Linked DNA regions of Schizosaccharomyces pombe. Changing the gene in region 1 together with any one later gene gives a genetic interaction. Each region holds a gene or a part of one and is shown in the gene's direction. Other genes may lie near its edges.

Region 1 (10,083 bases):
TTTTATTGAAACTTAGAAATAGCAACTTTCTTTTTAGCCCTTCTACAATAACTTTTGCATACTCTACTCCCAACATCCATTTTCTCATCAGCAATCCTAGTCCAAGCTTGTCATTCCAACCTTCGTCAGTGGTAAATCTCGTTTTCAATCTGAATCGTCGATCTTTGCGTCATTATTGAGCCGTGGCATTCCTATTTGATCGCTCTTCGTTACGGGCTGTCGGAGGAACATAACGTGTGATTTTAATTTGACTAAAAATTTTTTATCAGATCATTTTTTTTTATTGGCCCTTCTACTCAAGTTGCGCAAGCTTGAGCACCTTTTTAGTCATCTGTTGGGTGAGTTTATTAACAGACACTTTGTTTTGCCCTGGTGGCTTAAGGTACCGTACATCTCATTCCTGTTAACAAGGTAGCTAGCATCTTCACCTGTCCTACTACCACCTACTTGTATCTTCGTACACATACACCACCCAAGAGAGGCGACTTTGCTTCATATCTGATACAAAACAAATACAATACAAATTATTCTTCCACATTTGTTTGTTTGCTTCACTCGTTCTCATTTGCCAGCCCTTTTTATCGCCTTTGCTTTTTCCTTCAGATCGTCTGGTTTTAACTCTACTTTTACCACGCCTGTAGATTCCAAAAATTTCTTTGAACATCGTACTAATCGGTTTATCCTTTTACGTCTTCTCCTTCTTTTTATTTAAAATTATCTTTCTAGGATTCGGGTTACCCCACCCATTGGTTTGGAATCGTTGTGTCTTGTGTATCTATCTTATTTTTAATCCGTTTACTCGTTTTCTTCCCCTTCTCTAAAATTTTATTCTTTTTTTTTCTTTTGTTTTGTTTTGTTTTCTACTTTTTACATCCTTGACTTTCTTCCTTACGATTGTCATTTTGTTTATTTAAAAGTCTTCACTGTCTTGTTAGTTTCCATTTGTAATTCCTTTTCATCCGGCAGCTTGTTTGCCTTTTTCCCCTTACTATTTTTAATACTTTTCTCTATCCACTTCTACTTTATTTTTTCTCAAGATGGCACCTTCTGTTGCAACCTCACTTAAGGCAGAGATCCTACCATCTCCGCGTACCTCATCTCCCTCTTCGAACTTTAAAACGTGTGTTTCCAACGAGAATGGTTGTATAAACTGTCGTTGCTCGCCTTCGGAACCTCATGAATCGGCCAATGTCGATGAGTCGGTAAATAAACTTTCCAAAACCTTCTCCAAACTTTCATTAAACCCTACCTTCCAGGCTTTGAACATGGATCTAGGTCTTCTACATGAAAATATTACTCTTGACAGAATTCCCAAAGTTCCCGAGAATCATGTCTCTTTGATTGATATCGATGAGGCTCGTGCCAAAGAAGACCCCAACTTTCAAATTCATTCAACTCCTTCTAGAATGCCTCCTCACTATGTTCAACCACACCCTCCGTTCAGTGTCTTTCCCGCCCCTATACTAGACGTTCGTGAGCTCACTAAACCAGGTGCTGTCAAACGTGTGTTCCATTTTGAACTAGACGTTTCCAACTATCCCCTTCCTGAAGGCGAAGAGTGGATGGTTGGAGGGTCGTTTGGTGTAATGGCTCCCAACAACGAAGAGGATGTGGATGAGCTTTTACAATTACTTCATATCAATCCCGACCAGGCAGATGCCCCTGTCCTTTTAAAAACCGATGGAGGTCGTTGGCCCACCATCTGGGCAGAAGACACACCTAGAGAACTCGTTACAACCAGGCGTGAGCTTCTTAAATGGACCGTGGAGTTTATGTCTGTCGCCCCAAAAAAGCAGCTTATTCGGTTACTTGCCGAATACGCCAAGGATGATACCGAGCGGCAAGTTTTGTTGTTTTTGGTCAGTCGTTTGGGACAACGTGCTTTCTGTGATTTAAGGGACCACAACGTTACACTTATCACTCTGCTAAAGGCTTTCCCTAGTGTTCAACTTCCTCTTGATCACCTTTTAACCGTGCTTCCCCAGCTTATGCCTAGATGGTATTCTTTGTCAAACGATCCCAAGGTCAGTAATAATGTATTGGAATTTGCGGTTACAGTTGTTGAAATCAATAAAGTTGAAGGAGGCACTCGTTCTGGTATTGGTTCTGGTTTTTTGAAAAGATTGGCATTGAGATTTTTAAATGGTGAACGAGATCTCGTCCTTCCAATGTACCGCGGTCTGCACAAAAACGCATTTGCCACACATTTTGCTTCTGATGGCCCTATGTGCCTAATCGGTGCCGGTGTAGGTGTTGCTCCCTTTAGAGGTTTTGTGCAACGACGTCTTACAAATGCCACTTGTGCTGGTAAAGTTTGGGTTTTCCATGGATGCCGCGACCAAGAATTGGATGAGCTCTATCATGGTGAGTGGGAAAACCCGCTTCAAAAGTCTTCAGACGATGATGCATCTTCTACAGTCAGCCAACAAACCGAAACTGAAATGGATTCCTTCGAAGTTAAAAAAGACGGTACTAGTGGCCCCAACCATCTTGTTGTTGAATCACGTTCTCACCAACATGCCTATGTACAGGACGAGATTCGACACCGTGGTGACATTGTATGGAGTGTTCTTAGTCATCCTCATGGGAAGGTTTATCTTTGTGGTGGTAAAAAGGGATTTTTAGATGGTGTTGAAAATGCCTTGATTGATGTTTGCGTTCAATACGGAAAAATGAGCAGGCTGGAAGCTACCCAACAACTTGCTCTTTGGCAAAGTCCACTTAACCTTAAATACATAAAGGAGATTTGGTAAATGAATGAAGTTGTTTATCCACGTTACCAATATTTATTTTTTCGTTAAAATTTTTTTTTTGTTTACTATCTTTTCACATTATTTTCGATTCTTTTCTGTCTTTTTTATTATCGTTTCGTTTTAAAAAAATCTTTTTTGAAATGTTTCGAAAGCAATATTTGTATCTCAAAATGGCATTTTAATTCTATATTGGCTTGGGCATATCTGTTAAAACATTTTTTGTTTAGCCTTTTGTTTCCATAAATAAAAATATAAACAAATTTTAATAGTTGATTGTAGTAATATAATTTACTCATCTTATTCTCTTGCTTTGATTTATCCTTCATGTTTTCGTATACTGTTAACTAGCAATCTTGAGACTGTAAAGTAAACATTAAGGATTCGATTCTTTAGTGAACCAGTACCTAGTATCTAATTATTTATTAGCGAATTCTAAGGAAATTTGTTTTGCCCATTAATAGCGAAACATCACTCCATGTCGTACAATCGTTAACGCCGGTAACAGAACTCCGATTAAGTTCAGCCGTTGGGGTATCCATGAGCATACGAGCATAGTTCGCAAGCATTATCATTTTAGGACTCTTCACAATCTTAAGTTATTATTTAAGTGTTAATATCTTTAATTTTACTAGATTGCTTAAAAATTGAGAGTTTGACTAGCCCAGTAAGCAATCGCGTGTTGCACGCAATAAGTATTAGTACGAAAACATACTATCCCTTTATAAGGCTATTTCATGAAGGCGCTTATGGAAGGAGATAGCTTTTTTATTCCTGCTTTTAATGATCAGTGCTCATGAAACCTGTGCGAAGGGGACAAACCGATACTGCTTTGGATATAAGTTCCCATGCCAAAACTAATGGTGACTTTATCAAAAAAATGAATACCACTGATTCAAAAAGGCTCAAGTTACTTGAGGATTTGAAGGGAAAGCTCGAAGTTGAGTGCAAAATACGGGATGGCGCTGAAACGTTGCTGCAAGTCTTCGACACCAATTTTAAAAAAGAAACAAAAGAACGTAAAGAAATGTTAAAAAAGAAATGTACCGATGAGCTCGAATCATCTAAAAAAAAGATAGAGGAATTAGTTTCTAGCATTGAATCTTTCCAAGGAGAAAATGGTGAAGCAAAAACTGGCTCAACCAGTCTCACGAGGTCTGCTTCTGCGACTGTCAGTCGAAAGAGCTCATTGCAGGAAAAGTATAGTACGAGATTTTCTTACAAAGCAGGATGTAGCGATAGTTGCAGTGTTACAGTCAGTGGGACTGGTGAATTAATAGGTCCTACCAGAAATGCGCATAGCAATTTAACTCCTACCGTCATTCAAAGAATTGACTTTGAAAATGTCAACGAAAAAAATAATTCTTCTTCTGAAGATACTCAACCTAACGGAAAACGTCCTTCTAGTTTGCAATCGAATTTCTCACAATTTCCATTAAATCCTTGGCTTGATAATATATATAAGGCTTGTCTTGAAGGCAGTATGAAGGATGTAATCGATTCCTCAAATAATTTATGTGAATACTTACATGAACATTCTGATCCCGCTTATGCAAAAAACTTCTCCTTGATTACTCCGACCATACTTTCAATGCTCGAGTTGAATGTCTCTGAAGTTACGGCTTCTGTTTATAGACTACTAAGGCATTTGTTTCTTGACGCAACAGCATTCTCTTGTTGTCAAATGTTGAATTTACCTTGGATCTTGTCAAAGTCTCTACTTTCTGGTACCGATGCATATCAAATTGAACGAGAGCAAGCATTCCGACTAATCCGAACTCTTTATTTTCTTTCATCAACTGAAGGACATGAGGATTATCTTTCAGGTATTACGAGGACTATCATTTCAATTTGTGAGCATGTATCAGATGTTAGTCGTGGAATTGCTGTTGAAACTCTTATCGAGTTAATGATTATTCGACCAAAAATTTTATTTAAAGCTAATGGTTTAAGGGTTTTAATGATCTCCCTAATCGATGGAAGTATTTCTGAGAATTTAGCAGCTAGTGCTGCACTTGCATTAGTATATCTTTTGGATGATCCTGAAAGCGCTTGTTACGTAAATTTACCCTACGATATTGGCATTTTACTTTCACCTTTTACTAGTTCTTCTTCGCGAGATACATTTAATTCCTCTGAGGAACAGTCTGAACAAGCTGCAAAAGCCATGAAATCTTCCGCCAAAGTTGCCTCTGTTTTGCTTAATTCATGGTCTGGATTATTGGCTTTGTCTACCAATGATTTTCAGGCTCTTCGGTCGATTGTTGATACACTTCGGGTTCCATCCTTTGCTCCACGAAGCGATGTAATTGATCTTTTCTTTTTAATTTTCCAAGTTGAGTATTCAAGTTGGTCAGAGTCTTTTTTGGCCGGAAAACGATTAACAGTCGTTAAAAATCAGGCTGTATCTAATGATGATAACATAAACATGGTTAATATACCGGATGGTTCCAACAAAAAGTACATGTCGCTACGCCAACATTTTACAGCCGTCTTATTATTTATATTTTTGGAGCTCGGTTTGGTTGAATCTATTGTATGTATGATTAGGGCCAGCGATGACCCATCAGCCTCACGTAAAGCTACATATCTTCTAGGAGAGGTATTGAGGCTGTCTGATGAGCTACTGCCGATTCATTTAGGAGCCAAAATACAATCCTTGCCATCTTTATTTAATATGGCTTCTCAATTTACTGCCGAAGACAGGTTTGTTGCCACTTCTGTTCTTCAATCCATTGAAAGTTTGAATAGAGTTAAATTCCATTCTGCAACACAACCTTTCTCGCAGACAACCTCTCTTCTTTTTAAGGAGCAAAAAACTGATGGATCTTTTCGGGGGCAAAGACAGGTTGAGCATGTTAAATTGAAAATGGGCATGCAGATTGATGATTCACATTTTCGTAGTATGCTAGCTGAAACCAACGTGTTAGCTACAAAAAACTATCAAAAATGGCGATGGGATACACTTGTCCAAATTATGGAGGGTCCATTGCTAAGTCCGAAACGTATTGATGAAACTTTGCGAACCACAAAATTTATGAGACGGCTTTTAGCATTTTATAAACCCTTTTCCAACAGATTTTCTTCCATACAAAACACTAAACCAAATCAAAAATTTATAAAGGTTGGTTGTCTTGTTTTCAGGACTTTACTAGCCAATCCGGAAGGCGTTAAATATCTTTCTGAAAGCAAAGTGATTAAACAAATAGCAGAATCTCTTAGCCAGATAGACGGATATTCAGAACAGGTTTCTGAGCCGATTTTCTCGAACAGTAGGCTTCAGAAAACCCTCACCCACGGTTACTTTCCTATGTTAAAAGTATTGTCAAGCCAAAAGGAAGGTCATGCAATTATGGAACGATGGAGGATTTTTACTACACTTTACCATTTGACAGAATTGAGGAACAGAGACGATCTCATAATTATTTTTCTGACTAATCTTGATTATCGGCTAGAGGGGCACACACGAATTATATTTTCTAAGGCGCTTAATACCGGGCAACAGGCTGTACGCTTAACTGCAACCAAGCATCTTGCGGCTTTAATCAATTCTGAGTCTGCCAATGACAACTTAAATCACTGGGCAATTTCTCTATTGATATTTCAACTGTACGATCCTTGCTTGGAAGTATGTAAAACAGCAGTGAAGGTGTTGAATGAAGTTTGTGCTCGAAATGAAAACTTGCTGGCTCAAGTTGTTCAGCTTCAACCTTCATTGGCCCATTTGGGTGAAATTGGCTCACCTTTACTTTTACGTTTTCTTGCTACAACTGTCGGATTTCATTACCTTTCTGAAATTAATTTTATTGAACATGAACTCGATAATTGGTACCATCATCGAAATATAGATTACGTGGATTTATTGGAGCAAAATTTTTTCCTTTCTTTTGTTTCAAATCTCAAAATTATTGACAAGAAAAACAATGAACCAGATGAAAATATACTTCCCCTACACTTTTATGGCGAATTAGTCAAATCTCCACAAGGTTGTGAGGTTCTCGAGTCTTCTGGGCATTTTGAATCTTTTATGGGTACCTTGGTGGAATTTTACGATAAACCGTTAGGAAATGAAGCCATCAGGCAGTTAAAGAGTGCTCTTTGGGCTATAGGAAACATTGGAAAAACCGATCAGGGTATTACGTTTTTAATTAACCATGATACGATACCGTTGATTGTCAAATATGCCGAAAATTCATTGATTCCTACTGTTCGAGGAACTGCTTATTTTGTATTAGGCTTGATTTCCAGGACTTCTAAAGGCGTTGAGATACTCGAATCACTGCATTGGTATAGCCTTATGTCTTTAATGGGCACTTCACAAGGAATTTGCATTCCGAGACATGCTGGACAAGTATTATCAACTCCAAGGAGAAATGTTGAGTTTGTAAATGAGCGCGTGCCAACTCCTGAGTTTTCTTCATTACTTAGCTCTTTAACTAACTCAGAGAGAGAGGTAATTAGGCTCGTTTCCAATTTGTCAAACCATGTTTTAACAAACGAGTCAGCACGGCAACTAACAAAGATTCGTTCGAAAAATGCTAAAGTTTTCTCCTCTAAACGTTTGGTGAAAGCTTGTATGACCATTCTGGGAAAATTCCATTACCGTGTTCAGATTCAACAATTTGTATTTGAATTATTTCCTTACTCGGTTTTATTGTCTTCCTCAACCTCACAGGACTTAAATGAATCCCCGTCCAGGCCGAATAATTTGTCAATTTCCGCATGAACTCCAAATTTCCGAACCTTCACTTTTCTAAAATTTTTGTAAATTAATGATTTTTATGATTTCTTATTATCGTTTTTCTTCTGTTATTCAATAAGTTTGATCTTTAGTTTTCTGCTTATTCTTTGACCTTCCCTCTTTGTTTCTTTTCATAAGTTTATTTACTAAGTTAGACTAGTGTTTACATAAAAGGTGATTGCGCTAGGGTTAGTAATGAGTTTATAATTGTTTTTGGATGTTTAAATTATTAATCTAATATTTATAAGACATGTCTGATACTTGCGGATATTTTTTTGAATTTGTGTAGTTTAGGTAGGCCTGCTTAGCCCCTGGCCTCCATACGATAGTAATATGAACAAGAATATATTGCCTTTCATCTTTTCGTGCTAATTTTTACTTTGTACGCTGTTATTATCAATATAAAAATTGCGTACCACAAAGGTGTACTTATATGTAATACCCATGCTTAGCAAGTTATGCTCAACTTCCACATACAACGTATGCAACGAACGGCAGCCTCATGTTATAGTAAATTAGCAAATCCTATATAACTAAACGAAAGTGTATTTGCTTAACATATCGTGGAGTTTGGGCATATTTCTGCTCACAAGTAAATCTCATACAACATCGCATTTGGTTTTAATTTGTTTTGGTTGTTCGCAAGGAAGAAGATTATTCTTTAAAAAAAAGGAAATAAATTTATAAATATAATTTGAAAAAAAATATATATATATATATTTGGGTTTTTACACTCTTTTGACTACATAACTCGATAGGTTTTCGGATTTGTTTAATAGACAAAAGAAGGAAGTACGTTTAAGGGTTTATTTCTATGGAACATTATTGATTTTTTTTTTTTCTTGCTATGTACAATGTGACATACAGGTTACTTCGTCTAAGCTTGATTTCTTCTCATTCTTTAAGAAAATCACGGTCCTTCGATGTCAAAAACTTTGCAAATATTCATTTTTTTATTCCCTTACCAAACACACCAAAAAAGTTTTATTCTGTGAATGCATTTTCCCCTTTACTAAAAGCACGGCGCATGACAGCTACGATTGTAAGCAATCATAATGTTGGTTGTTCATGTTGCTACTTTCGACAGTATAGCACAAAACAATTTCGTGATTTAAATACCAGTGAAGCTCTTTCTCCATGTAAAGCTGAACCGATACCCTATAAAATCATGTCTTCCATGAGTAATTTTTCAGATTTTAAGTCTCGATTTTCACAATATCGAGAATCACATTTAAAGCTACTAAATGAGCTTCAAAATGTTAAAGACACAAATGATCTAAAAGACAGAATACGCTTACTTCATCTCAATAGCTCTTCTAAACTTAATGCTTTTTTACACGATCTTATAAACGCGCCAAATGTGTCAGCAGAGATGAAGGAAAATTGTGTTCGTCTGATTTTTTTTGGAAGGAAGTATGATCCTTTTCTTAGATCGAGGATGTTCACTTTAACTATTCGTTACTTTCTACTTCAAAAAAATAGGCTTAGGACTAGTTTTTATTTATTAAAACATATGGAGTTATTGGCTCTTCCTGCTTCTTATGAATTGAAAACAACTCTTTTAGAGTGGTTCTTACGAAAACGAAAATTTGAAACAGCTCAAAAGATTTTCCTATCGCTCTGCTTTTCCCAACATTTTCCCTCCGAAAAGTTATTGATGGTTTTACTTCTTCATGGGACTGAAACTATGCAGGAATATGCGATGATACAGGCAATAAATTTTGTGAATACAGAACAAAAGTTACGGTTTTACGATAGACTACACTCGATTTGTAGCAAGTTAAAGTTTTCCTCGACGGGTTGATGCTTTGGTAATAAAAATGGTTCATTTGGATGGTTATTTAAATACAATATTAAGATTTCTACTGTTTGGGTATTTAGTAAGGTAAATTAAATCATTGTAATTTTCGTTCAAATTGTAACTCATATAAATTAAATTATCCCTCATCTTGTTCTTTAGTTATTATCACGACAATAAATTTACGACTCTATTCCTTAACCGTGGGCACTATTTTAATTTAAATGTTCTGTATTTGGCATCATTATCTCAACAATTTAGATTTTCATAAAAGATGAACGAATATATTAGCAAAAAAAGAGAAGTTAAAACATTAAATAAATTAAAGATTATATTATGAAAGGACTAAAAGCATCATAAACAGTTATTCATTATATGCTTTTCTGTTTAAAAGATTACATTCCAAGCTCTTTAGACAAGCGTCCATTTCTCCCAAAACGATGTCTATTTCTAAGCTCAATACAGACTTTATATTGTGCATATTACCTGGATAATCATTAAATAATTCCATATTTAGACCTCGAACCCCCAGAGAATCGTAATTATCATTTGCTAATGGTTGAACGGCCGGTGAGCCAATGGATAAAGGGGGTAAATGAGCTCTTAATTTCGAATTAAATGGCTTAGGAGTGGACGAACAGGAGGAAATTTTAGGAGTAGAACTAGCGGATTCAAGACTAGGTTTATGCAAAATAGAGGGAGAAATCGATTTCGGAGGAGGTATACTAATTGACCTATTAACCTCTAATGGCTGTAGCACTGCCGAATGTTTATGCGCTGGCGCTTCTAATGGT
Region 2 (6,616 bases), 1.2 Mb from region 1:
GAATATAACACGCAAATCATGTCTGAACAACATTCATTAAACCCCTTTGAATCCGGTTCCGTCACTGCTTCCGATGTCGCCGCTGCTAAATCCGGTGCTGAGGACCTTGTAAATACTTTGACTGCTCACACCGTTCACCCTTCCACCGAATTGCCCTCTGCCACTTCATTTCCCTCTGCTCTCCCCAACTCTGAGAATCCCGTTATTCAAAACATCTCTTCTTCCTCTTCCGAGCCCCACCACACCTCTCAATCCACACCTGGCGAGACAAGCAGTCCCGTCTGCCCAGTTTCCGGCGCTCACGGAGGTGCCGACAAAAAATGCCCTGCTTTGGAGGCCGGTTGCCCTTTTACCAACACTACTAAGCAAAACGTCGATCCTGAGATCTCTAATGCTTTGTGGTCTGTGTTGACTTGGAAGAACACCTCTTGCAGTTTCTCTACCTTGATGAGTATTCTTGCTCTCGTTTATGTCCCTTCTTGGATCAATCTTCCTCGCCTCTTTTTCAGAACTTTCCGTTATGTCTTTTTGATTACCTCCATCATTGAATTCGGTGGTCTTTTCGCTTCCAACGGTAAGCGTGGTGTCTTGTCTCACTTCCGTTCCTCCTACATCACCTGCGACTCCAAGGCTCTTGATAGGATTGTCAACTCAATTGTCGACATTTTCAACGTTATGTTGATTCAATTCCAACGTATCTTGTTTGCTGAGAGCCCTATTTTGACCTTTACTGCCTCTGTTGCTGCTTTTATTGAGTTTTTCCTTAGTGGCTTCCTTTCCTACAAGTCTCTCTTTGTTTGGAATGTTTTGTTTGCCTTCATCCTTCCCAGATTGTATGTATGCAATGAGCGCTCTATCAAGCATTTGGTTGCTTCCCTTGAGAGATCTGGTGATAAACTTAAAAAGCAAGCTACTGAGACTATAAACACCACTGTTAACAAGTAAACCTCTGCGGGATAATTTGTTTGATTGTTTCTGTCAGGTTGCGCTTGATTTTTATTTGGTTCGCTTCCTCGTTTATTTTAAGGTTTCAATAGTATCTTTTGCAAAAAAATGCAAGGGTAATAACCATGGTTTTGTTTTCAACTTTGAAAATGTGTTGCTGTGTTGTGTTGCGTTTCAAAAGTGTTGTATTATGACTTGAATTAGGAGATTGAATGCGTTTTCTCAATTATTTTGCTTATGACTATGAGTGTTTATTTTCATAAATACGTCTTTCTCATCTCGATATATTGTAAATGTAACAGGTTCGGCTCAATCTCTCATTTCTCTTCTGAGTTGCAAACTATTGCAGTGTGGTTGAAGTTCTTGTTGCTTTGCTCAATATGATGCTATTTTATTATATTTTCTCTGCTTCGTTTAATACCCAACGTACTTATTATTCGTAATTTAATCTCGTAATTACTCCGTGTTGTTTTGTAGGTCCTCCTCGTATTCCTTATTGCTGCTCTTTTCGAAAAAAAAAATATATATATATATTTTCCATAACTAAAATGGGTCTGTGGACGAAAAAATCTATTTTGTTTAACCAAATGACTAAAGTATTTGTTAACCAAAAATTATTATTTTTTTTCCACTACTTCGTATTTAATACAGCCGATCATACAGTAAAGTGCTGATTACACTCGCATGATCGTTGTCTGCTCTCACCACAAGTCATTCACTTATATCAATGTTGTGCCAGCTTTTTACGTTTAAGCTCAAAATTTCCTTTGTATCCATATATTAGGATTATTGAAATTCAATTTATTGTCAATTTATCATGCCGCAACGCTATTATACATGAGTTCCAAGAAAGTCAAATACAATCCTCGAAAAAGCGCATCTCAAAATGAAGCTACCTCAGCTTCAGCAGGTAGCAAAGCTTTTGGATTTAATTCCGCGAAAAAGGAGAAACTTCATAGAATGGCGCTGTCTATGGAAGCAATTGAAGATGTTGAGGATCAATCGTTCAATGGCAAGTCTTCCAATCTAGTCAGAAAGCGTCGGGGTTTGGATGAAGACATTGATGAATTTTCTTCTTCATCAGAGGATGAAAGAAAGCCTGCTCGACATCCTCAAAGCTCCTCTCAAAAACCATTTGCTAGCTCTACATACAACGTAGAGCTTCCAACATCTCCGACTAAAATTACCAATATCGGTCAGTCAAGCCCTAGAGCATTGCGCTACCTGTCTCCAGAATCTCAGAGAATAAAAAACGCCAAGATGAAGTCGCCTATTTCAACACATCTGGCTAAATATTCTATTCATCACATGGGTACTCCACCATCTAAACCGTCATTCTTGAGTTCTAGCGTGTCTTCCCCTGCATCTAGTAAACAAAAATCACTTTTCCAGTGCACAAAAGATCTCGAGAAGAGATATATCAATCGTGTTCATCGTTCATCTGAAACTGAGCTTGTGCAACTTTCTTCCATTAAAGTTCTCGATCGATTTCTCTCTGACATATATCTAGTTGAAGCTGAAAAAAATGAGGAAAAATGCACAGTTTTACTTCTAAAACGTTCTAATACTGATGTAGACAATAGTAGCTCTCTATCTCTTACTTTACCTTTGTGTAAATTTACCAAAAATGGGCATCAAGTACACATACATCCTTGCTGATTCATATATAATGCTTTTTGCTATATTTACACAAAGCGTAAAGTTCATTGTGATATATTTATTTGTCATATATATATATTTTTTACAAGTATCTTAATCTACGACATTTATGAAAGGTGGTTTTCTGTTTAATCTAATTAATTTTTCAACCTGAGGTTCCTGCGTACCTTTTAGCAACCCATTTAAACGGTTTAGCATGTCAACAGTAGCATGGCTTAATTACTATTAATTACTTAAATTGTTTATAAATTAGGCTTTAAAAAGATTGAGAAAGGACATCTATGGTTACCCTTTCCTGTACACTAGAAGACCTTCTTAATCCATTTACCTTCATACGTATTCATCACCAACCAACCGCTCCTTTCATAAAACTTTTGAATGAGCACAATAGAAGCAATATATCTTGTAGACACTAATGGGTATGCGTTAGCTGTTTATTTACTTTATTAATCAAGTTGACTAGGGCGTTACTACTCCAGTTGGAGTCTCGAGGAAGGACATCTCCCATAACGTTAGAACATATAAAAAACGAACTTTTTCGCTACAAACTTCGAAATGAGGAGCCTCCATTTATATTACATAACAAAAATTTTTTGATATTTCAAGAGTTAGAGGAAGATGTGCGTTTGTGTATTCCTACAACTTGCGACACTGAGCCTCTCTACATTCATGATATTATGAGACGCATTGTGGATGTAGTTAAAACATTTTTTGGTGGGTTTAATGCTTCAAAGGTCGAGAAAAATGTTTGCGTTATTGTCCAGCTATTAGCTGAAATGATTGATTATGGATATGCAACTTGTATGGAACCAAATGCATTGCAGGACATTGTACCACTCCCTAGCTTTATGAATAAGTTTATGGCAGTTACTGGTCTACAAACGTATGTTATTTAGTTTTCTGTTTTTGCAGTGCTAACCGCATGATTTAGAAATACACCGACTCTTGCAAGAGATACCGTTCCTTGGAGAACAGCTAAAGCAAAATATGCAACCAATGAATTTTTTATTCATGTACTTGAACGCGTATCAGCCGTTTACCAGCCTAACGGAAAACTTGCTTTTGGCACAGTTAAAAGTGATATGGAATGCAAATGTCAAATATCTGGTATGCCTTTACTTTTGCTGAGTTTGAGACCCGGCACAAAACTAGGGAATGTTCGGTTCCACCAGTCAGTCAATTTAAAAAGATGGAAACAACATCCGGATCAGATTGAATTCATTCCACCGGACGGAAAATTTACATTAGCTTCTTTTCAAACAGACTTTGCTACCCAGAAATCTTTGCCTGTTGTTGTTGAAGCAAAAAATAAGTTGGATGGAAGGTTCGAAGTACGTATTCGAAACACCGGGAAAAAATCCGTTGAAAATTTAAAAATCCTAATAACTATTCCTCAAGCTCTAAAGAGCGTTACGGTTACCGAGGGAAATTATATTTTTCGTGCTTCCAAGTATACTCATATGGAAGAAGGTATTCTGGAGTGGTCGGTAAAAAAATTAGCTTGGACATCCCCGGCCTTAGTGTTGACAGGATTCCTGGCCCCCTTAAAGAAAGATGCCAATTCAACCGAAGAGTCAAGTAGCTACTCTAAGCTTGAGCACCTTGATTTACAATATAAACTTCAAGGATCAACCCTTCATAATTTTAAAGTAGAGTCATTGAAGATGCTTAATCATCCAGATAAAAAATCTTATAAAGGGGTCAAGCATACAATTATTGCACAAAATGTTTCATTTCGTTTTCGGTAATAATTAATTTACTTTCTATCTACCCGTTTGTTTATTATATATTATTCATATAAATTTCATTTTCTTAGTTATCACTAATGATTATAATAATTATTTTCCACACAAAGCCTCATTCATTGAAACGATACATATAGTCTATATATATTAGGATACACAATTAATGCCAAATGACTTCTGTTAATTTGTAGTTAAATTATTAAGTTAAACGATTTTATCCAAGGACAATTTTTTTGAAATATCTAATAATACAAGCATGTCTTTGAGTATTGCCATTGGTCTATCAATACCAACTAATTCTGTTTGTTGATACATTGTGTATAACTGCTTCAACGTTGTGTAAAATAGCTCTTTATCAAAGTTGCGATCACTTTCACGAAGGGCCGAACCCAAAAATGAGACCCATGCTCGTAGATGTAGCTTCTGTCTGATTTTGTTTTTCGGAAGGGAAGTGGGTAAAAGTTGAGTTAGCTGTTTAGTAAACTCACAACGTGTATGGCGTATGTTAATTCCAATACCTATTCCTTTCATAAGTATATATTGGCTCAGGCAATACCGGAGATTGGAGGCGCCTAAGTTTCCAAAGAAAAGATCTTGTTGTTTCGCATTCAGTTTTGAAAAACGTTCGTCGAGTTTGCTAAGAAAATGAAAAGCGTCTGTCAGATGTACAACAAAAAATCTTCCCTTCGGAAGCATAGCCCATATAAGGCATAAGAGTTTGGCACCTAGGTTTGCTAGTCTTGATGTTCCTTCAAAACTATTTGAACCTCGACTTTCTGTTTTAGCAGGTGCTTTGGACATACTTGTTGCAAAAGGTGATTCCATTGTTTGCTGGGGAAGAGTGAAACAGGAGAAGCAAATTCTGATGGCATCTTGAAGTTCACACAAATCTTCTCCCATGTATTTTTTCATCAACGCAGATCCGTTTTCCTCAGCATCGATCTCTAATATCCTTAACCATATGTCCATCAAGGACATCCAACGTTCAAGGTCAGGAGGACGAGAAGACATGTATGCAATTAGATCCCAATAATCAACATCTTGGGTAAATAAGCATTGGTTGGAGAAAATCTTCAGATAATTTTCTTTAGGCATATCGTTGTCCGATAGATCATTTTCAAATGACCATGCGTCAAAGTTGATTTTGCTTCTGTTCTCAACCACCTGCTGTAATATCCAATTACAGCTTTCTTGAATATTAGAAGAGGTAGGATATTCTGGGTGGACTAGAAGAGTTATGCACATTCGTATATAACAAGCTGGAATTGGTATAGAGGTCGTCGATAGAAGATATTCTAAAACATCTAATGATTTTGGCAACAAGTCTTCTTCAATACAAAGCTCTATTATTGCCTTTAGAGCCGAGTTCATTTTGAAATGGCGTAAGCAATCTTTGCTACTTTATATGTAAAAGAAGCCAGATATGGAAGAGATATCTTATTTCTTAAAACGATTTTCTTTGTAAAAGAGCATTTAACATGTGCCCTATTTACAGTCTTGTGATTATTATTGAATGGTTTGATTCACGAATTTTATATTGTAACAAAATGCAGAATTCTCAGTTTGAAGTTTTTACGCGACAGAAGAAATATATTCAAAAAGAGGGAAAGAGGAGGACCCCAAATGAGCAGTATTTTAAAAGGAAGCTTTCAACGATAAGGTTTGTAACCAAGGAAGACAACATCTGCAAAAATTATTTCGTAAAAAAAAAATTAAAAAAAAAATCACTTTTCAAATTATAAAAACATTATTCTTTTAATGTACTAGCAGATAGTACCTTTGAAAGCTAGTAGATAAAAGTTTCGCTGCTGTTATGAAATTGGTGGAGAGTCCTTGGAACCGTTATTAGTCAGGTATCTAGCTAATCTGATCCTGTCCTCCACCAAGATGGCCGACTTTCAGGATGAATTGTTGGCATTAGCTGGTATTGATGACTCAGATGTTGCTTCAAACCGTAAAAGGGCTCATGATGATTTGTAAGAAAGCAAATTTATCGGATTGACCTTGCTAACAAAACATATTTTAGAGATGATGTGTTGAGCAGCAGTTCAGACGAAGACAATAATGAAAATGTTGGACAGGATTATGCGGAAGAGTCTGGAGGAGAAGGAAATGAGAAGTCGGAAGACGAATTTGAAGAAAAATTCAAAAACCCGTATCGTCTAGAGGGCAAGTTTAAAGATGAAGCAGACAGAGCAAAGTACGTTGATTTTTACATTTTTCATAAAGTTGTCTAACCAAATAAAGGATAATGGCAATGACGGAAA
Region 3 (7,787 bases), 690 kb from region 1:
CAGGCTCCATCGACGGAGTCATCACACTTGGAATACACGTTGCAGACGTCGCGTATTACGTTAAGCAAGATATGCCTCTTGATGATGAAGCTGCCAATAGAGTATCAGAAGTACAATTGTTGCAAGGTTCCGTACCCTTTTTACCGAAAAAGGTCTCAGAAGAGATTTCCCTTATAGAGGGACATGATTGTTTAACAATTAGTATAGTTGTACAGCTTGATTTGAAAAGCGGCGCTGTTTTACAGTGTTCCCTTGGGCCCTCTGTAATCCACCCGTCAAGTTTTATTAGTTTAGAAAGTGCACAAGCAAACTTGCAAACCAACGAAGCGCTTCAGCTAGTTGATGCATCGGCCCATGTCCTTACCAAACTAAGATTGAAAACAGATAAGAAACTTGACTTACAATCCTTATACTGCTTTGAATTTTGCGATGGGCAGATTCCTAATATACAGAATATTAACATGAGTATTTTTGAGGCATTCCCTATTGCATGTTCTTTACAACAAATTGAACATTGGGTAAACGAGAAAGTTGCATCTCATTTAATGTCTGTTTTTCCCAGTAAAGTGATTTTGCGAAAAAATCAAAGACCTTCTGACTTTGCATCTCTTGTTGCAGTTTCTGAGTTAACCGGAGTGAATTTATCTGCTTCATCTACTCCTTCGGAAATCATGACCGAAATTGCAACTACCAAGGATAAGAGAACCAAAATGTTACTACAATTGACTCTAAGAAGAATGTGTAATGAATCTGAATACACTATCGGTACTTCAAATGCTAAGGATGTTTCGCATTTTGTGTTCTCTTGTCCTTACTACACCCATTTTTGTCACCCTACTCGTAGATATATCGATATATGTGTACAGAGACAATTACGCGAAGCCTTTGATGGCAGACCAGACTTTTCCAAAGACTACAGAAGTTTACTTTCTATAACTCAGTCTTGTAACACACTGAGCAACTTCTACCGTAATGCCCAGGAAAAAAGTCTACATGCATATTTATGTCAACTTCTCCATTCTATTAATTTACGATCTGGGCTCGTTAAGCATAAGGCTTTTGTTTTGGCTGTTGACCAGGAGTATATTGACATAGTCATATACGAATTTGGCTTGGAAAGAAGGATCTCCTTGGATCTGCTACCGCTTAGTAACTGCGACTTTAATGAGCAAAAACACGAACTCTATTTATCATGGAGGACAAATGCTTCTTTCTTTTATGCTTCATCTTCTTTGGAAATTGATACACCTTGTTTCAATGACTTTAAGAAAAAATTTTTGGATTCCAACGGGATGTGCAAACAAATATGCGATATGATGGATGCACAGGTTCGGGATTTAGCTAACGCTGCTGAGTCCCAGGAGTCTTTCTATTCAAAGGCTCGAGGCAATGACAGTACTAGTAAAACAGCTAAAAGTTCCTCTGGCAATCAGGATATTTCCGGAGATGGAAAACTTCATAGTTTACGTATGAAAGAGCCTGAGGTTGTTCAAACCATCCGTCCAGGCCAAGAGGTTAGTGTACTTATATTTGCTGATACTTCCGCTACTTACTCACTCTCGTTAATTACTTTACAAAGTCCTCTATCCAGTTAATCTTCAATAACTGGTGATCTTCGCTAATGTGTATGCCTCACGATTTATTTTTAATGTATGATTAATTGCATATGTCTAACGTTATATACTTCTACCACTTATTTCTTTTTACCTAAACGTTTTGGATTTATTTTAGAGGATTCGAATAATCGCATGGGTTTGTTTGTTTTTTGGTGGACTTAAATGTTTTTAAGGATTTTTATCAAAATATTTTAATGCTTATTTACGGTTCATGTCTTACGATTGTATTTCTTATTGGCTTTTTTTATTCATTTTTCTCATTTTTTTTTTTTTATTTCTTTATTATTTTTTTTTACTAGTAATACTTTTGCATCGTTTAAAGGGAAAAGTTATGCCCTTATGTTTTTTTCAATAAAATGGATTATCAAATCATTGCTATCAAAATATATAAATAATTAAAAGTAAATTAGTTATTTATTCACGTCACTATGGTTGATACCTACCCGCTTAAAGTTCATTACTAAAATCTTTATTGTATTTCTCTTATTTTCTTCTGAACAGTGCAGCTTACCTCATATTTCAACAGTCAACGGCATCTGCAGTATTATCCTAGTATATTACAAATAACTAATTAAACATGTAATTTTCCATGAATATACTTCGATCAGTAGTTTCGAGGGGTCGAAAAGGCCTCAAACAAGAAAAAGTGAATCGTAGCTTTGCTTACTTAGATATGGTTTATATTACTTCCAAGGTAATTGCTATGTCTACACCGGCTGCTGGAATACATAAGTTATATCGAAACGACGAATTGGATGTATTTAAATATCTTACAACGCAATTGAAAGACAACTGGATATTGTTGAATTTATGTGCCGAAGAAACAGTTTACCATTTGGAATTATTTAAACCAAATGTCATAAATTATGGATTTCAAGATCATAATCCACCTCCGCTTCTCTTTTTATGGGCTATTGTTATGAATATGGATGCACTCTTTCAAACGCAACCTTTGTTGACATTGGTAGTTCATTGTAAGGCCGGAAAAGGACGTACAGGAACTGTAATATGTAGCTACTTGGTAGCTTTCGGAGGCTTGACAGCCAAGCAAAGTCTTGAACTATATACTGAAAAAAGAATGGTTCGAGGGCACGGTCTTACCATTTCATCGCAAATACGTTACGTCTATTATATCGAAATTTTAAAACAGTTCCCGAATTATTTGAAAGCTGTGGAATTTAATACTGGTACCACTTTTTTTAAAAGTTTTAAATGTTTGAATATTAAAAAAAATTCATCTTTGATTCTATCATTGCATGCCTTCTCTAAGGGACGAAACATAAATCCAGTTGCTCTGTGGAAGAGTTCAGATATATCATCCCATAATGTAAGCATAAAAGAAGGAAAACGTATATGGGGGATACAATGCAACCTAGAAACATCGGAGAAAGACCTTTTGCTCAGAGTCGAACGCAAGGGCCAGTTTTACTTTCCTTCGAGTGTGCAATGTTGGTTTCATACTCACTTTCAACCTATGCTTGTGGAATACACAAACGGGATAAATTTTCAACAAGGTATAAATTCCTTTCTGCAAGGACAACAGTCAATTTCGTTCTCCTGGTCTGAAATGGATAATAGCCGACGAAGTGACCCCTTTTTCGAACAACTGACAATTGTATATGAAAATGTTTTTTGATATTTTGTAAATATTATATTAGTGTAAAATAAAATGATTATTTGTGCAATTAGATCCTCCTTTCGATCATCGAAATAAACTCACATGTTGAAGTGTTTCTACTTCAGTAAATTACAGAGGCGCTTCAAGTTTTTTTTTTAAATTTTAAAAAAAACATAGGAGTTTGAGTTTAAGGCTTATACTCTAAGATTCGAGTTTGCAGTTACGATTTATGGTATTAACTCATCGTGGCTACATTACCGACATCCACTTGAATTGAGCTTGTCTTCCACCAACGCTTGTTAATCGCTGAATTGACTCTCATGTCTGGGATATCACTATCCTTGCGTCAATTGGATTATAGAGATTGGTTTCAGCGAAAAAGTATGCTCTTGTTTTGTTTTTGAATGATGCTAACTAGTTTATTAGTCAGTCGAGATATCTACGGCAATTCGACTTGGTTGACCGGTATAGATTTGCAGAAAGAATTAACTGGTCATACGGGATGTGTTAATACACTAGAGTAAGTGTTTTATAACAATTTGTTCTACAATGCTTACAATTTTCAGCTGGTCCGCGGACGGTGAATTCTTGTTATCAGGAAGTGATGATACAAGACTAATTGTCTGGGATGTTTTCAATGAATACAAGCCACGGCATTTAATATCTACTGGCCATGTTCAAAATATCTTCAGTGCGAAATTTGTCCCATATTCTAATAACCGGCAAATATTGTCTGCTAGTGGTGATAAGCTTATTAAGTTGTTTGATTTAGATTCAAGTAAAGAAGGAGGAATGGATCACGGCATGGAGACTCAAACTAGATGTTGGAGTTGTGCTCTTGATTCTGTTAAAAACATCGTCCCTTGTGACAATGGTCATACTTTTCTAGTTTGCAGTGAAGATGGGACGGCTCGTCAATACGATATTCGTGAGCCACATGTCTGCAATCAAGATTTGGATTGTCCTTCTATACTGGTAAATTATAACCCATATCGCATCAATTTATACACTATAACCATGTCCCCTTCAAACCCTTATTATTTTGCAATTGGTGGTACTCATCCGTACGCGTTTCTATATGATCGCCGGATGGTTAAAAAATCTTTCCGGGATGATTGGACTATGAACACTTCTCCCGAAAAAGACTGCCGTTGTGTTCGTAAATTTAGTCCAGATGGCTCATGTAATTCCCAAGGTATCTTGGATCGTTATATCACTTGTTGTCAGTTTAGTGCTGCTAATCCTAATGAGGTAAGTCTTATTGCATGGGTGATCTCTAATGTTTGTTATAGTTGCTTGTCAGTTGGAACTCTGATTATGTATATTTATTCCATGTTCATGAAGATAAATCTTATACACCAACTTTTAATAAAATAGAGGATTCAAATAAAAAGCCGTCTAAGCCTTCGTTACTTCAAACACAGCCGCTGAAAAGGAAAAATTACTCGCCATGGTATAAGAATAACTTTGGTGCTTCTACTCCAGCTAGTAGAGTGTCAAGAAATCCGTATACAGCAGCCCAACCTCGAAAGCATACATTTTATCAGATGTATGAGAATATCGAAAAGTTTTTTACTACCGAAAATGGAGGACTGTATGAGAGCATTGTTAGCGGTCGTTTATCTCATTTTTCTCGCTCTATTCAGTACGTTAAAGACGCTATTTATTTCTTGGAAAATTATAATTATATTCCCGATTCAAACGGTTTGAATCATAGTATCCGCGTTAGTGCTTTACGTTATTGGAGAGCGTGTGTTTCTATTTTAGCGCTTATGGATGATACTGTGAGTTTGGAACCGAACACCATTATACAAGCTGGCTGGGGATGGTTGTATGATTTTATGAATTGGGTTACACGATATTTGTTAGGAATATCGGACCATTGGGCACTACAAATGTCTCCGCCTACGAACGTTGCTCGCCAAAACTTTGTTTTGTGTGATCCTGATGAACCATCTCGGGTTTTATTCTCAAATCCCTCTGAAATGATTAGGGCATTTGCTAGGATAGATACTAATGATTTATCTTCTGTAAGGCGGTTTTTTTGGATACATAAAGTTTTACGCGGTTGTCTTCTTCTTATATCCTCCGATATCTACTGGGAGCAATTTCAGCCTTGGGACAGCAGTACTTCTGACGTTACTTCCAGCCAAAGACTTGATGATGAAAACGGGTTCTTGACATTGTTGGAACCGCCAGTGAACTATGAAAATGAAGTTGAAAGTAGTTCGGGAGAAAATATTGTCAGTATGTATACTGGGCATTCTGATCTCAATGATGACGATGATGATTACCAGGATGAGGAAAGTTACTCCTATGCTAGTGATGATGATGATGAAAGTGATGAGGATTCGGATGAAGGTCCGACTTTGTTGTCTTTAAGAATGAAGAAGCGGAAAGCAGTGGAACCAAATGTGCCGGTGAACACACATGTTAAAAGTTATTATGGTCACTGCAACGTAGAGTCTATTAAAAATGTTAATTTCTATGGTCAAAATGATGAATATGTCATGAGTGGTTCTGACGATGGCAGGTTTTTTATTTGGGATAAGTTAAATGCTTCCATTCTTGCAATTATCCATGGCGATAGTGAAGCTGTTAACGTTATAGAAGGGCATCCCCGTTGTCCCACGCTTGCTGTGTCCGGTATTGATTCCACCGTGAAGATATTCAATACTGAGAACACTCCACCATCAGGTTGTTCAAGGAACCATACTTCCAATAGTTACAAAATAATTGCTACCAATGAAATGAATAGGCAGCAGGGGTCGCGAGATTCCTACATAACGAGGTTTGTTGAATACTTCTAATTTGCTCATGTAAATACTAACCGTTCTTCTAGTCGTATGTTGTCACATCTTGCATATCGTGCACATTTGGATGATGGGTTTGGACACGAAGTGCTCGATACCGATGCTTGTAGTATTATGTAACTGAGGAAGTTTTTTTTGAAGCTCACATTTTCTCTATTAAAACTATTTATGATTAATGATTAGACATTTTCAAGTAAACTTAATGTTGTGAAATAACTATATGATTTTACTTTTTGGGATAAAGTTGGGAATTTAAGCGAAGTAGTTAAAAGCAAGACAATTTCGGCATATTCATTTGGACAAATATTAAGTGCGTATGACTGCAGATGTTTAATAGTCATTTTTTATATAAGCTTTTCTTTAAAAGTAAAATATTAAATTTTAATTTTCTTGAAACATCGTCTTCAAAGGAAAACGGCAAGCATAGCAATCCCTCTTATTTTCTGTCTTCCGTCGATCGTCTACCTACTTAATCATAGTTTGAAGTTAAAATTGTTTTTAACGACATCATTTTTTTAAGTAACTGTTGTATTCGCATTACTCTGAAAAGAATTAATTCATACTTAGTTTTGATTAGTCATATAGTTCTGTTTTTACTTTTTAATTTCGCTTTCTTTTGCTGACAAAAATTAAGGCAGAATTTTTTACGCGAGATGACGATCGACTGATGTACGTTAGAAATGTTTGTTGTAACTTCCAATCTTAATTTTTTTTTTGTTTACATAAGCAACAAGATGATTTTGCACTTTTAATACTGCTTACTGAAACGACTTAGAATACGATGGATAATTGAAAGAAGGAATCTCACATAATTGACTAATCAATCAATATATGCTTACTTTACACTTAGTAAACATTCACGTTGATTAGGTAAGGCACGAAGGGTATATTAGGAGAAGAATGTAGCCAGACAATTGTACCAGCAAGTGTGGGCAAATAATCTGTCAAGTTTTTAATAAAGTTAACCGAGACCAAAAAATAGAACTAACTTTGGTTTTTACATACGGTCATTTAAATGGGATTTTTAAGGGAAACCGTTTTCGGCGAATTGGTCGAATACGTTTCTCACAACTCCAATGACAACGACTTAGAGAAACTGAGAGTATGGAAAGACATTAGCAAAGTAGATTCCAATGACTCATGCAGCTCGGAATCCGGCGATCTGAAGATTCATGAAGTTAATTCAGAGGGACACATTATTGTGCGATGGGATGATGCCAACGATCCCGAAAATCCCCTAAATTGGCCTTTGTGGGCAAAGCTTGTGGTGACTTTTGATATTTGCTTCTTAACGTTTGCGGTTTATGTGGGATCAGCAATTTTTACTCCAGGTATATCAGAAATGCAAGAAACGATGCACGTAGGAACTGTTCCCGTAGTTTTGGGATTGACTCTTTTTGTACTTGGCTATGCCATCGGTCCCCTAATTTTGTCTCCACTCTCGGAGATTCCACAAGTTGGTCGCCAAAAGATTTATGTTCTTTCTCTCCTTGTATTTGTGTGTTTACAGATTCCCACCGCACTGGGATCTAGCTTGGGCGTCTTATTACCAATGAGGTTTTTGGCCGGTTTCTTCGGCTCGCCAGCTCTAGCGACTGGAGGTGCTACTTTGGCAGATATTTGGCAACCATGGCTTCTTCCCTACTTTATGTGTTTTTGGGCAATTGGAGCCATCGGTGGTCCAGTTTTGGGACCGTTGCTTGGTGGAGCGATGGTCGTTGCTGAATCTTGGAGATGGCA
Region 4 (6,715 bases), 1.3 Mb from region 1:
ACATTGGCTTAGATGCATTGGATATCAGGTAAGTTACTACTTATAATTAGGAATTACAAAAGAATAGCACTCAAATATTTTAAGCCGCTGCATATGATTAAACGAGATTGAAACAAGTATTTGTATGTCCTTTATAGTACTCGATTGTGATCCTTTCTTTAACTTCACCTTATTTTTAATAATAATAATCTCATTGAAAGGACAGCACATCATGTCTATAAAGGGAAATATCAATAGGAATTGTTGACTTGGCTGGTTTAGCCTGTATCTCTTTACGAAATCTTTTTGTTAATAGTTCTATACTGTCATGCAACTTTTACTAACTAATAAATCTCAGCCATCAGATTTGAACCGACTAAATGTCATCCATGTTGCTGGAACTAAAGGAAAGGGTTCTACATGTGCATTTACATCCTCAATATTACAGCAAATACAGAAGAGTGGAGAAAGGTCGATTCCAAAATGCATTGGTATGTACACTTCTCCTCACCTCCGATCTGTCTGTGAACGTATTCAATTAAATGGCAAACCTATCAGTCAAGAGTTGTTTACTAAATATTTTTTTGATGTATGGGAGCGCCTAGAGAATGCTGTCGGTAGTGATTCGGAAAAGCCAATGTATTTCCGATTCTTGACACTAATGGCATGGCACGTTTTCATTTCAGAGAATGTCGATGCCGCTATCATTGAAGTTGGGATTGGTGGTGAATACGATTCTACAAACTTAATTGAAAAACCATATGCCACAGCAGTTACAAGCTTAGGTCTTGACCACACGTCTTTGTTGGGGAACACAATAGCAGAAATTGCTTGGCAGAAAGCTGGAATCTACAAAGAATCAGCTATTGCCTTAACTTGCGAGCAAGCTCCCGAGGCTATGAATGTTTTAAAAAACCGTGCTGCTGAACGAAATACATCACTTAAGGTAGTCATACCTCCTGCTGAATTAACGCCGGATATGATTGGTCTTTCAGGAGTTCATCAGCTTGGAAATACATCCCTTGCAGTTTCTTTAGTCCAAGAATTCTATGAAAAGGCCGGGTGCCCTTTTGATAGAGATCCATATCAGGATCCAGCAATTTTGGACGGCCTCAAGTATGTAAAATGGCCTGGAAGATGCCAAATTGAGGAAATCAACAACATAAAATGGTGTTTTGATGGAGCCCACACCAAGGAAAGTTTGGAGGCCACTGGACTTTGGCTCGCATCCAAGAAGAATCTTTATGAGGATGCAGATGCCCGTATTCTTCTGTTTAACCAGCAAAGCAGGGATGATCCAATTGCTTTACTTAGGTCCTTCTTAAAAGGATTGGAAAGCTCGGGAACTGGGATTTCGTTTACGCATGTTATATTCTCAACCAATGTCACCTGGAAGGATGCAGGCTATAATCCAGAGCTGTTAAGCATTAATACCATTACTGATAATAAGCCCGTTTTGCATGTACAAGAGGATTTATGTAAATGGTGGAAAGAATCGAAGGGCACGACTAGTGAAGCAACAGTAGCCCCTACCATCCAAGAAGCTATTGAGACAGTGATGTCAATTAAGCAAAAATCCAGGAATACTTTTGTTTGTGTCACCGGAAGTCTGCATTTAACTGGTGGTGTTTTTGTAGTACTAGATCAAGCTGTTTTTTGATTGAAATGGAGAAAGGTTCTACATTTTGCAACATTGTTTTTGAGATTTAAATGATTCTTAGATATACAACATAGCTTTATGCATCTTTGTAATTACAAAATGATTTTTAACAATTTGACACGTAAGGGGAACAAATTTGATTTCACGAATTATAATAGTATGCAGATAAAAAGCTGTGTGAAATTTGATTATACTCGTGCATTTCCAATCAAACAAATAATTTACTGTAAAGCTTTAAGGCTGATTATTGACTTTTTATATATACTTAGCCAATATTTAAGGTATGAATGTACAATTATATTTTACAGGAACAGTGTGTTGAAAGTTGCTTTTGCTTGGATCTCGTAACCCAATTACGACCACCGCATCTTTTCAGCATCCAGCCTAGTTTACAAACTGCCTATTATAAAAACGTTTTAAGCTCTTTTAATATTTTTGTTTTTTTAAAAAAAGCAAATGGCAGATGCAGAAGACTCGCGTCACTCAAAAAATGAGGGTTTTCCCAACACTTCCTTAATCACAGAAAAACTAGATCTATTGGATTTATTTGGGTCACCAAAAGTTAAAACTGAAAGAGAGGGACGTCCAGCGCGCCTTCTTGAAGGTCTATCGGCTGTTAATGCTGAAACTGCATTTGTAAAAACACACCCCCTTCAGCATGAATGGACATTGTGGTTTTTGAAACCACCTACACAAGGTCTTGAATGGAGTGATCTTCTTAAAGAGATTATTTCCTTCAAGACAGTGGAAGAGTTTTGGGGCATCTTTAAGACGATCTCAAAAGCTTCGATGCTTCCCGCCAAATCGGACTACTCTTACTTTTTGAAAGGTATTCGTCCTGAATGGGAGGATCCTCAAAACATGAATGGTGGGAAATGGGCCTACCAAAGCAAGCACAAAGGTTCAAATCTCGACGAGTTGTGGCTGTATATGGTAAGTCATGGTCTGTTCATTTTAACTGCTGTGATATCGACTTTACAGAATGTTAATTTTTAAGTTGAAAGTATTAACGTATGGAAATAGGTGCTGGCAGCCATTGGAGAAACATTAGACCCTACTGGGAAAGAAGTTACTGGTGTAGTTTGCAATATGAGGAAAGGATTCTATAGAATCGCTGTATGGACACGAAATTGTAATGACAAAGATGTTTTGGAAAAAATCGGGTATGTGAAGTTTTAAGAGTAACGTGTTGGTAGTTGACTGGACTAACAAACATGTAGCCTGCGCTTTAAAGAAGTTTTAGGGATTTCTGATAAAGAGACTATAGAATATAGTGCTCATGAGGATTCATCAAAGGCTGGTAGTATGCGAGCAAAAACCCGTATGAGTCTTTAATGATATCAAGTTTCAAGTTTTTATTTTTACTTTCTAAGGCTTGGTAAATTATAGGGGTGTTCATTTACGAATGACAATATGTTATTGCAATCATTGCCCTCTTGTTTTTGAGACCTCTAAAATACCAAGCTTATTGAGATGAGATAGATGCCTCTTTACAGTTAGTGTATTCGTATGAATAGTTTAATTTGTTATATTTGTTGAGCATTTTAATAGGCTAATGGATATAATCTATATTTGACCCTTCTCTTACGTTATAAATATTAAAATTCTATCAAGAATGTAAATATGCTAGATCGCCAAATCTTCCTATTATTCATAACCGCCTGTATATTAAACATTTATCGCTAGCTTATTTCAAGCTGAATAATGTCTACTATGATTTTACTATTTCCGAGGATCTAATGTAATGTTGGAACTAACCTTTATCGCTAAGGATCCATGAATGTTTGAATCAAACTAAAATTTCGAAATAATAGGCGACCTTCATTTCTTCTTATCATTGTCGAAATCGGATAACATTAATTAAGAAGATAGCCCTTTTAATCGAATTAATGCAGCGCTTAATGAGTACTGGGAAAAGTGGGGAAATTTACTTGCAACTTCTGTATGCTTAGAATTAGATATCTGGTGAAGAAGTATCTACAATCAGACTTTTCAATGTACTGTACGGAATATTGTCGAGTATCAGTGCACCACTTCAATTCCAAATCTATCGCTTCGCTTATACTCAAAGTTTTTTAAACAAATAAAGCTCAGCACTAACTTCATCATTTGGTTAATCAGCAATTAGCAAAGATGAAATGATTGACGAATATTTCGTAACGCTGATACAATCTCCCAACTCCAAACATAATTCGCTTATGTATACCTATTTAATAACCTAGAGCTTAATTGAAAATATACGAATGCATTACCACCTTTTCTAACTAGTCAATTTTTCGAGTATCGTTTTTTAAGCAAAAGAGAGCCAAAGGCTAACATTAACTCAACTCCGTTCTGTGTATCAATTCTCCTTTTCAAATTTCGAAAATAGTCATCTGCGTACAGGGACATCAACGAAACATTCCAACAGTATTTCAAAATTTTTACTTATTTATTTCATAAATATGTACCCTCGCTATTATTAAAACATTTAAATATCTCTGAATAATACAGGTGTTGATGAAACCTGTAGTTTATATGATACACATCTTCATTATTCGTACATAAAATTTGCAGTCGAAAATGAACCAAGAAAGTAACATTATATGATTAAACAAATCGTCTTATATAGTAGTATGTGTTTTTTATCGAATACAGTGTAAATATTCATTGTTATTTGCTGTTTTTTCTTAAAACTCATAAATAGCGTTTTGTTCGTCAATTATTAATTTCTATCACCAAAGTCTTTTAAATGAACCAAATTCCCTATGTTGAATGGAAAAAGTTACTTGTTATCAGCTTTCTGTTTGTTTCCGTTAATGCGCTGTTCAAATTTTTCAAACTCGGCAATTGCAACCTCCTCTTCTGGATCTAAAACTTGTACAACATTTTCCACTTCCGGAATGTAATGCTTCAGCATTTGCTGAATTCCATTTTTTAGTGTCACAGCTGATGACGAACAGGTTCGACATGCACCTCGAAGTTTAAGAGAAACGGTACCTGTCTTCTCATCAAACCCTCTAAATTCCACATCACCACCGTCTTCTTGGATAGATGGACGAATGCTAGTCTCGATCAGTTCTTTAATCATTGCAACAATTTGACTGTCGCTTTCTAATATTTGAGTATCGCTAGCCCCCTTTAGAGGCTCTTCAGAGAGTACTGGGCTTCCATTACTTAAATGCTCCATAATTACACTAAACACTTCTGGCTTCATTTGAGCCCATTCAGTTCCTGCTCCCTTGGAAACAGTAATAAAGTCCTTTCCAAAAAAAATGCTATCAACTCCATCTATATCAAATAGTTTCTGTGCCAATGGAGAATTCACAGTTCCTTGTCCTCTCATGAATTCACAGCTTCCGATAGTTGGAGGCAAGATATCTAGCCCTGGCAGGAACTTCAAAGCGTTTTCGTTCGGTGTCTCCTCCGATCGGATCCATATGCTGCGAATTGCTTGCAATTGGAAACGTGGAGTGAAAACGTTACCAGCTGAAGATACTGGTAAAAAGGTTTTCTTTTGGAATGCTGTCCTTAAAGATTGAAACGGCACAACTCTAGGAAATAACATGCTTGGAATCAAATCGTGCTTTATCCAATAAGAGACAAAATATTAAGACAAGTTCAGAATTTGAAACTTCTTAAGTATACACTTCAAACAGATGGGAAAATTTAAATGTTTATTAACAATTTTTAAATCAGGAAATGCTAATGTAAGCAATTCTTTAAATACATGCAAGAAGGCAATTTGTACATGGGCATACGAAAACCGATGTGATCCTTATACTTTCTTATACAAATTAGCGAAGTTCATTATATTGAAATAAGCCATTGTTCGTGATTCAACAATTTACTTGTCTTTCATCACTAATCTAAATTCTCTCTTACAAGAACAATAGACATTGTTTTCAATTGAACAAATCGGTAGGCTCCTGCCTTCCTCAACAACTTAATTTCTACTAGGTGTTCAAAAACAGATACCTTCCTAGTAAATTTCACACATCATTGCTTCATTAAGAAAGAACTGTTTAAATCGTATGGAAAAGGTAAGCCAACGGTACCATTGTTCATTCACAAAATACTGATGAATTACTGCAGTCTCAACTTGAGTCACGCGTCCATTTGCTTGAACAGCAGAAGGAGCAATTGGAAAGTAGTTTACAAGACGCTTTAGCTAAGCTAAAGTAAGTGTGGTAAAGTGATGCTAGAAATGGTAGAAAATATGAGTTATGCGCCTTTACGCGCGTTCAGGTTCATTTTGGGAAAAGCAATGTATTGCCGTTCCATCAAATCTATTCAAGTCATCATCAAGCTTGTCTCGTTTTATCTAATGTTGACAAATGATTTAGAAATCGAGATGCTAAGCAAACTGTACAAAAACATATCGATCTACTCCATACCTATAATGAAATACGGGATATTGCTTTGGGAATGATTGGCAAAGTGGCAGAGCATGAAAAATGTACAAGTGTCGAATTGTTTGACAGATTTGGAGTTAATGGGTCAGAATAATTATTATCCATTCAGTTATTTAGGAAAAAAGAGAAGTTAAACAAAACAAATAAAAATGTAACGGAAAAAGTGACAGAGACAATCCAAGTTTTCTTTATTAAGCATTACTTTGCTTTCGCTAGAGATCCAACGCCAATTCTTATATATTTATTATGAAAGTTTACGTAAACGATCACAATTGTTAGAACATCTCAAGACTTTAGCTAGTTGATTAGTATTAAGGCTCGTCAGTATGTCCGACGTCTTTTTCAGATGACAATAGCAACTTATGAATGTTATTTGCAGTTTCAGTATTGGCTGTCGATTCTAGTTTTGACAAGTGATGTGACCAAAAATCCTTTTGCTGGTCGATGGGATTAGATAATCGTTCGTAACCTTTTTCTAAGTAGGTAATTCTTTCATCCACCTCTCGTGAGTGTACAGTGGGAGAGGCTTCAACTACTCTTTTAACGGCATGCTGCAGATTACCAAGTTGATCAAGAAGGAAATCGGTAGTTTCTGGTAAAGTAACTTGCCAATTTTCGGGTACTTTGTTGAGAAAAGAAATTCTTTCCAAATGCTTTTCTATTTCTGTTTTTTTTTCTCTTT

Evidence for each region.
Region 2: mutations in ste20 (region 1) and apm3 together harm fitness more than expected from each alone (negative genetic interaction), as found in Schizosaccharomyces pombe (one large-scale study listed by BioGRID).
Region 3: mutations in ste20 (region 1) and iqw1 together harm fitness less than expected from each alone (positive genetic interaction), as found in Schizosaccharomyces pombe (one large-scale study listed by BioGRID).
Region 4: mutations in ste20 (region 1) and tif452 together harm fitness more than expected from each alone (negative genetic interaction), as found in Schizosaccharomyces pombe (one large-scale study listed by BioGRID).

Annotation. Positions count from the first base shown.
Region 1 is NC_003423.3:2,472,593-2,482,675, forward strand, and holds ste20 (target of rapamycin complex 2 subunit ste20), read left to right. Parts: upstream 1-3,286; 5' UTR 3,287-3,546; coding exon 3,547-7,476; 3' UTR 7,477-7,870; downstream 7,871-10,083. Other genes in the region: SPOM_SPBC12C2.03C (methionine synthase reductase), read left to right, coding at 1,038-2,753; SPOM_SPBC12C2.01C (uncharacterized protein), read left to right, coding at 8,339-9,295; PAK-like kinase Nak1, read right to left, coding at 9,654-10,083. UniProt on the Schizosaccharomyces pombe protein: Component of TORC2, which regulates multiple cellular processes to control cell growth in response to environmental signals. TORC2 is required for cell survival under various stress conditions.
Region 2 is NC_003423.3:1,257,007-1,263,622, reverse strand, and holds apm3 (AP-3 adaptor complex subunit Apm3), read left to right. Parts: upstream 1-2,949; 5' UTR 2,950-2,982; coding exon 2,983-3,023; intron 3,024-3,067; coding exon 3,068-3,487; exon of another isoform or gene 3,488-3,535; coding exon 3,536-4,352; 3' UTR 4,353-4,434; downstream 4,435-6,616. Other genes in the region: reticulon Rtn1, read left to right, coding at 19-945; protein dbl7, read left to right, coding at 1,783-2,604; Smc5-6 complex non-SMC subunit Nse5, read right to left, coding at 4,554-5,720; prf1 (RNA polymerase II-associated Paf1 complex protein), read left to right, coding at 6,237-6,325, 6,376-6,549, 6,597-6,616. UniProt on the Schizosaccharomyces pombe protein: Part of the AP-3 complex, an adaptor-related complex which is not clathrin-associated. The complex is associated with the Golgi region as well as more peripheral structures.
Region 3 is NC_003423.3:3,159,618-3,167,404, forward strand, and holds iqw1 (WD repeat-containing protein), read left to right. Parts: upstream 1-3,522; 5' UTR 3,523-3,554; coding exon 3,555-3,615; intron 3,616-3,660; coding exon 3,661-3,754; intron 3,755-3,800; coding exon 3,801-4,485; intron 4,486-4,526; coding exon 4,527-6,025; intron 6,026-6,076; coding exon 6,077-6,167; 3' UTR 6,168-6,285; downstream 6,286-7,787. Other genes in the region: SPOM_SPBC609.01 (Dis3-like exonuclease family protein), read left to right, coding at 1-1,595; phosphatidylinositol-3,4,5-trisphosphate3-phosphatase Ptn1, read left to right, coding at 2,206-3,252; plasma membrane spermine family transmembrane transporter Caf5, read left to right, coding at 7,063-7,787. UniProt on the Schizosaccharomyces pombe protein: Ligand-dependent coactivator of nuclear receptors that may function as a substrate receptor for CUL4-DDB1 E3 ubiquitin-protein ligase complex.
Region 4 is NC_003423.3:1,132,404-1,139,118, forward strand, and holds tif452 (translation initiation factor eIF4E, 4F complex E subunit isoform 2, stress response factor), read left to right. Parts: upstream 1-1,990; 5' UTR 1,991-2,095; coding exon 2,096-2,572; exon of another isoform or gene 2,573-2,662; coding exon 2,663-2,802; exon of another isoform or gene 2,803-2,859; coding exon 2,860-2,974; 3' UTR 2,975-3,216; downstream 3,217-6,715. Other genes in the region: met7 (putative folylpolyglutamate synthase), read left to right, coding at 1-28, 338-1,639; NifU-like protein nfu1, read right to left, coding at 4,404-5,186; protein Swi5, read left to right, coding at 5,653-5,661, 5,714-5,799, 5,965-6,127; MIS12/MIND complex Mis12, read right to left, coding at 6,345-6,715. UniProt on the Schizosaccharomyces pombe protein: Recognizes and binds the 7-methylguanosine-containing mRNA cap during an early step in the initiation of protein synthesis and facilitates ribosome binding by inducing the unwinding of the mRNAs secondary structures.